Struthio camelus: one gene and its partner. The protein of the gene in region 2 interacts with the protein of the main gene of each other region in a biochemical or structural test. Links are inferred from orthologs where the notes say so. Each region holds a gene or a part of one and is shown on either strand. Other genes may lie near its edges.

Evidence for each region.
Region 1: the proteins of CTTN (region 2) and ACTR3 form a complex in vitro, tested with the Homo sapiens proteins (3 studies listed by BioGRID). The link is inferred for Struthio camelus from reciprocal best matches to the Homo sapiens genes CTTN and ACTR3.

The regions. Positions count from the first base shown.
Region 1 is NC_090947.1:37,613,383-37,617,131, reverse strand, and holds the start of ACTR3 (actin-related protein 3), read left to right. Parts: upstream 1-1,015; 5' UTR 1,016-2,073; coding exon 2,074-2,117; intron 2,118-3,749. UniProt on the Homo sapiens protein: ATP-binding component of the Arp2/3 complex, a multiprotein complex that mediates actin polymerization upon stimulation by nucleation-promoting factor (NPF).
Region 2 is NC_090946.1:33,056,237-33,059,985, reverse strand, and holds the start of CTTN (src substrate cortactin), read right to left. Parts: upstream 2,630-3,749; 5' UTR 2,421-2,629; intron 1-2,420.

The DNA.
Region 1 (3,749 bases), on a different chromosome or scaffold from region 2:
CTCCTCACATCCGCATCCATCTGCATTGTTGGCCTTCAGGCAGTTTGCAATGTAAATATGAACCAGGAAACAACAACATAAAGGTAATCCACCACGGTAATTATTATCATGGCTGTTCAGAAAAAGATCACCTGCAACCCAAGTTTGCTAATAAAAACTGGACTGTGAGGCATCACAGACTGATATTGCTGGATTATTGCCACAGGATGGTACCAGATATAGGCAGTTTGGAGTTTTATTCATTCCAGCTCCACTGCAGAGATAGGAAGACTACTAAGCAATTGCCTTTACGCTTTAAAGACTCAATTCAGGTATACCCTCAAAACACTGAAAAGCATCGCAGGAGTTCGGGACTGATATCTGGCTAAATTAGGCCCTTCAGAAAAATTGTCAGAAAATTAACCATGAAAAACAAGAAAAATGGCTTTTTCTTTAACTGCTGTACTGAAGAAATAAATGAGTTGGAAAACATTTGAATACCAAGAAGCCTTAAAATATATTATTTGGCACTGCAGTCCCTCTGGATCTGGCTGCGTTTTAACTTTATAGGCTCCATTTTGTAATTTAAGTGCAAGACTTGTATGCCGATAATATCCACCAAGACAATCTGTATGCCACTGCACGAAGCTACAACGGATCTATTGCATAATCAGTTGGTAAAGTGTTTGAGCTATTTGAATTTTGATGAGGAAACCCCAACGTGCATTTATGATACAACCCCAAACGTGCATTTATGGTACAACCACGGGGGACAATATCACTTAAAGAGGAATCTTGCACCTTTACTTTTTTGGATCGGAGCCTGGGTCCGCAGCACCTTGGAGAACTGCATCTGGCAGGCCTATTAAAAATGAAACATGAGACCTCATGGCTAGTGAGTTTAGACTTTCAATTTCTTCCTCGCAAAACCTTAATTGACTTGGCATCTCTGTATTGGGAGAAATCCTATGCTTTCTCGCAAATTCTGCTGTAATTTAATAAAACAAAATGCATCATTATTGCTCTTTTTCAGTATCAGTCTTTATTAATAGACTCCGGTCTCAGGAAGAACACAACCTGATAGAAGAGATCACAATAGAGTTGTTTACTAGATTTGTTTCACTTTCCATATCTTCTCCAACTCCGTGTCCTACCAGCTCAGAGAAGACGCTTGGACTCACAAGGGGGAAAAAAATATCTGTAAGGAATCCAGCTGTGGGATGCTTTCTGTAGAGTACATTAGACCAGAGCTTGCCGGTTGAATATTTTCTAGTCAGTTATGCTTTATGACGGCGCCTGAGAAGCGAGCGAGGCGAAGGGGTCGGCGAGCCGCCGAGGGCACGCCGCCCGACCGGCGAGGCAGGACCTCGGCGGCCAGGTTGGACCAGCCCAGACCGTCGGGCACGTTCACGGCGACGCGACCGGCTCAACGTCCGCCTGCGGATGAGGGTCAGGGCGACCCGGGTCCGACAGACCCCGCAGCTGCCGGGCAGCTCTGAGGGCAGGCTGGACATGGGCCCGTGCACCAGCAGGGTCCGCGGCCAGGCCCAGGCACGTCTGAAAAAACGTTCAAAAAACCAGAACGAGAAGTATCTACTTCTGCCTTTGCCTCGTGGTCGCGCTTTTCCTGGAGAGGGCTTTCGGGGCCCGCGCGGCCTCCTCGGGCCCACCATCGCCCTGCGGGAAGTTCCCTTGCCTTCTTCGTGGCCAGCACACTTCCTCACGCTCGTCCCCGCGTCTTCTCTCAGATTTTCAGCGTTAAAACCTTATTTCCGCCGGGGATGCAGCCAAGGCGGAGGGGAAAAAAAACCCTCCCGCCCGCTCCGCTTCGCACCCCCTCGCATGGGCGAGGCCGCGAGATCGGGCGTCACGGAACGCTCGGGTTGGCGCGCCCGCCCTCCGCCGCCGCGCGCAGGGAGGGGACGGGTCAGCCATCTTGGGCCGTGCGTGCGAGTGAGCGAGCGGCCGGGCGGGGGAGGGAAGGAGCGGCCGGCTTGCGGAAGTGCCTTCACTCCCCCGGAGCGGAGCCAGCCGCCGCAGCAGCGAGCCCAGGGGCCGCCCGCCTTTCCCCAGCACCGCCGCTAGCCGAGCAGCATGGCAGGCCGGCTCCCAGCCTGCGTGGTGGACTGCGGCACGGGGTGAGCTGGGGCGGCCGTTGACAGTTGGGTACCGGCACGGCGGCGGCGGCGTGGGGGGGGAGGGGCTGGGCGTGTTCCCCGCCGGCTGCCGCAGATGGCGGCGGGGGTCGCGGCGGCAACCCGGTACCTTTCCTTCCTCTCCCCTCCCCGCGCCGCATCCGCGGGCCGCGCCGGGGTGCGGAGGGGTGTCCTGTATCCCCCCCGCCCCCCCCCGCGAGCCGGTCGGTGCTTCTCGCCTCCCGCGGAGCCTTGCTGCCGGCCGGGCTCCCCCCCCCCGCCCCCCCCCCCGCCAGGGGCGTTGGGAGCCGCAGGCTCGCCCTGCCGCTCCGCCGCCTGCCCAGGGTGAGGGGCGGCCGGTGGGCTAACGCCGGAGCCGGGCGGGCTAGCAAGCGTGCCAGACACCCTGGTGTCGTTCCCGCGGGTAACTAGGCGCCGGCTTGTCAGCAGCGCTCCGTCCTCAAGGGAGTCCTCGCCTAAAGAGCGTGCCGCTTTGGGTGTTTTTGTCAGATGTGCATAATGTCATTTATTCAGTATTATTTCTCTGTCTGGGAAAGGAGAAAGGGGGAAAAAAACCCCTCCCCCTCTAGTGAGCAAGCGCAGAGTAACTTCCTTAGTTTTGTCAAAGCCTCTTCCTGCTTTCAGGCTTTTATACCTTATAAGGCAGTTTTCAGTGTCAAACCTGAACCAAATCCTTTTTAGAAACCGTTTTTTGTGTTTGGCGGCTACCAGATGATGAAGAGAATGAAGTCCTAGTGATGTATAACATGAAATGTGCTTCGGTAGAAGGCTTTTGGGATTCAGAATCCTTTTTTGTTGTTGTTGCATGGCTTTCATAGCCCTTAGGAGACTTAGGTAGCAAACCCGTAGGTGCCCGTGGGAAGCCAACCTGGCAGGGTTACACTGTACCGCTTACAACAACACACCGAGGAAGTGAAAACCTCTCCCTGAGCTCCTGTCTGCAGTATGGTTTTACAGATGGAATGTATTTTTTTGAATATTATGTATCGGGTTTTCGTTGGAAAGAAAGGACTGTTATATTTCAAAGTTCTGTGTCTTGAGCTAGCACAGTTAATGTACTAATTCTTAAACTTCTCTTTTTTGTTGTACTTCTCATCATTTGCTAAAAATAGTTGAAGAAATTTCTCAGTAGGTGCAGAACAGATATGGGTATTTACAGTATTCATAGATGACTTTGGGGAGGGCATGTTCTTTTGGAACCCAGGGATTTGCTATGCTTGTCTTCCCTCCAAAAGTATCCACTTGGTCTAGGGCGTTAATAAATTGGTCTTTTTTTAAATGAGCAGGTATATATGTGTCTATAATGGCTGTATGCTTAATAGTTCTATGAAAATGTCCTGCCTGCAGTTACAGCAAGAACTAAAACTTTGAATTTTGTGGAGTGAAGGGGAAGTTAGCCCAGTAGGAATGTGTGTGTGTAACTGAGTGTAACAGAAGTAACGTGATGTCTATACATGCTATTTACTTTCCTTTTAAAAAAAGATTACTTGAAATTTTGAGTGCGCTCTGCCACACGCATAAGCAGCTTTCTCCCATCCTAGAAGTTTGTGCGTTGTAGGTAGTCCCATTAAAGTCAGTGATTGTGTCTTTATAGGTTTGCAAACTATAGCTTCT
Region 2 (3,749 bases):
GTATAGCAATATTTGTTTTTTCCCCAGTCGTTAGTAACGACGAGCACGATATTGTTCATTAAGCAGTATAATCTGCGTATCTTTCTTCTGTTGTGTAATAAGTTTCAGGATTATGAAAGAAATACAAACAACCATAAAAATTAACACAGAATCGAGGCACTAGTCCACTTGCATGCAACAGCAGAGTATACAAGTTACTGCACTTTTCCTTTGTCAAAGACGTATGCAAACTCAGTGCCCTGTCTGAATGTTTCAGGATGAAGCCGAAGGTTCCAACCTCTTACACACTTTTCTTCGTTCTTCTAATTAAGAACAGATTATAAGGATGATTGCCATGGACTATTTCATTTACACAGAAAATGGAATGAAAACTCCCCCTTAAATACAAATCCAGGCCAAAAAGATGAAAAGTTCTCCAGGGATCAGGTGGCATTTATTAACATTTGCACAGTACCGGACAAGCAGTTGTTCTGCTACGTAATATGAAAATTAACATAAAATTACTTAAAGATTCTGAATCTCTGAGCTTATTGCACATGGAGACAATGTGCTTATTAAACTGCAGTCTCTTTAGGACACAGGCTGTCTTTGTACATAATTTACATATAAAAAACAGAATTCCATAGAAGTAGGCATGTTATGACAGTAGCGTGCGCTCTACAAACTCAGATTTTAAAACATGCAACTAACAATCCATAGCTAAAGTTTATGCAGAAAAAACACTGCCTGTTCTACAGACTGCTAGAATACACCGATGTGCCAGTTTTACGAAGCGTTTCAGAAATGCCAGGACTGGTAATAATAACGAGAGGAATGAAAAAATTATCAAACACCAAGGCAGCAAATTACAGAGTGGTCTGGAAAGAGGGCATAAGAGCAGAGAAGACAACATCCTGACAACATCGCATAGATCTCCTTTTACATCTTGGGGTCTCCCATGTCCAAACGGCAATTCCTACGCAATTAAGAACCAGCATTTGTTAAATTACTTAATATGCAGAAGAATAAGAAGATTAAATATTTGCTGTGAAATCCTTTAAAACATTGGTACTTTATCCTTTTCCTTTGAATAGCCTCAGTCTAAAGCCTTAGCTCATGCTATCCTGTGTCTCAGGTCTCGTACTCTTTCCTTGGCCAAAGCGCATTCACAAAAAACAAACCTGTCACCAGAACGAAAGCGCTGGAAAGCGGAAACAAACCACCTCAATAACGAAACTCAGTGTGAGGGCCAAGGTTTAACTTCCTAATCAAACACAAACTCACGGTGACTCTTAGGAGGGAGAGCTCGCACCTCTCTGCTGTGCCGGTAGCAGGGCGTACGGCACTTGCCACCTAAACGCAACTCTTAAACTACAAGAGCTGAACCACGTGCATATTCGCACGTGGATGTTCTGTCCCTCGAGCTGTGTGAAATACAACCTTCTCCCCCTAAGTCCATAGTTCCAGCACTCATTTAGTTTTGTGCATGCAGTTGTGCTTGGGCGTTTAAAGAAACCCAATAGCTAGATCGTTAAGTCTGGATTTCTCTCCTTCCTCCTCAAACTCTTAAAAACAATCCTCAAGGAAGGAGGATTCCCACCCCTCCAAAATACAAAACAGAGTCCTGGTCGGAAGACCACCTGCTTCCCTAAACCACACACAAAACCATCGATGCTTTTCCGTGCCTCAGACCTGCTTCTTATAAACTGAATTACGAAGAGGAGGAAAGCCGCGTAGCAACGGTCCTCAGACGAGCGCGGTGACTTCTGCCGGAGAGGCAGCGCGGACGCCCCAGCTCGCCGCCGCCGCGCAGCCCTGCTACTCCCCGTCCGTCCCTTTCCAAACACAACGGGGAGAGAAACATGATCTACTTATGACTCACTGACTCACATGCCCAAATTTCTGCAGGAAAAAGAAAATCCTCCCGTTCATGCCCACTGAGGCTAAATATACACGCTTTGAACCGGCTTGGCCAGCTGGGCCTTCCCCCCCCCCCCCGGTAACGACTGATTCACGGTCACGGCTGGCCGCCCCGCCCGCAACATCCCCCGGGGGCAAAACGCCCCGCACCAGCGCCCACAGCGACACCCGGCGCAGCAGCAGGCCCCCGGCCGCCCCCCGCCGCGCCGCAGGGGGCCGCGCCCGGCCGCCACCGGGGCTCTTTTTTTTAACGGCTTCCTCCAAGTTCTCCGCTTACGAACAGATTAAAAAAAAAAAAAAAAAAAGTCACGGAAACCTCACGCCGTCTACTGCGACGAGGACGGCCCCGGCCCGCGGCAGGGGCGGCTCGGCGCCGAGGAGCCCCTCGCCCGGCCCCGCCGCCGCCCCCGGCCCGGCCCGAACAAAGCCGCCGCCCGGGGAGCCCGGCCCGGCCCGGCCCCCCCCCGCCGCCCCGGGAGGGTGAGGGGCGGGGAGGCCCCGGCCCCGGCCCCGGCGCTCACGTTGGTGCCGGGCGGCTGCTGCGGCCGCCGCTGCCCTCGCTGCCGCGGGTGCTTCCCGGCCGGGCGGCGGCGGCGGCTCCTGCTCCTGCTGCTGCAATTTCCGCTTCTCCCGAGCTCCCACTTCCTCTTCCCGCAGCGCGGGGCGGCTCCAGGTGGGAGGCGGGAGGCGGCCGGGGCCCGGCCCGGCCCGGCCGCGGGGGGCGCAGCCTGGCGAAGGGAAAAGGCGAAACGCTGAGCCCCAGCTCAGCCGTCCCGTCCCCCGTCCCCCCCCAGCAACGCTAGTGAAAATCCAGCGGCGGAGCAAGGGAGAGGACGCTACAAAGGAGCGGGCAGGAGATTTCAAAGGGCTATATTTAATTAAGCAGAGGTTTGAACATACCTTTTGTTTCAATATACTCACTTCTGCACCATCTCGTTTCGGAAACCGCAGCTAAGTGGGCGGGGGGGGGGGGTGTCCAGGACCCGGCCCGTGCTTCGCCTTTAACCGCCTCCGAGTACCCGAGCAAAGGAGATACAAATACACTAGCAAATACACTAGCGTTGAAAGCTCCAAAACCAGCAGTCGCATGTCTCGACTTGGTGACATCATTTCTCAATTATTTGTCCAGTGCTTATACTCTTTGGGGAAGGGAAATAAGCAGATATACATTTTTCCCCCCACTAGAAATATCTCCAACTCTAATAATAAAAAGTTCCAGATGAACATGCCTTCATGAGTTTTAGAAGCAAAAACATGACTTACCAGTGCCCAGTGGCAGTGGGATAGCTACTCCCAGCCAACAGAAATAAAGTACAGTGGAGTCAGTGTAAACAGGCTAAAACTTTTCTATATTTAGCACAGAAGAAGTTAGAATTTTGGAAGTATACTCTAATATTAAAGCCATCTAAGTAGAACTTTCTCCTGGAAACCCGTCTCCTGGAGAGGAGACGTGCTCCGAGAACCTGGATCCTCTGGGGATCGTCTCTGGCACTGTTGCTGTGCGGTTCGGGAGATAATTCATCTGTCCTCCTGGTTACCGGCAGGAACGCCAACCACACTTACAACCCACTTTTCATCTGTTCATTCCTGCATTGCAATTGCCATATTTTTACCAAAACGACTTCGAGCATTAGCAACACATGATTTGAATACAATTTAGAACATTGTAATTTAAGTTTTAGTGCATTGCTTAAACTAATATTTTATCAAAATCATCCAGAAAATTGAATTATAAAATAAGTTAAAAAAGCACTGAGATTAAACTTCCAGTTTGTTTATGTGTAGAAGCCAGAGTAAAGTTCTCTCTGATAATTCTGCCATCTCCTTATGGCAGTTACAAAGGGTTCTCA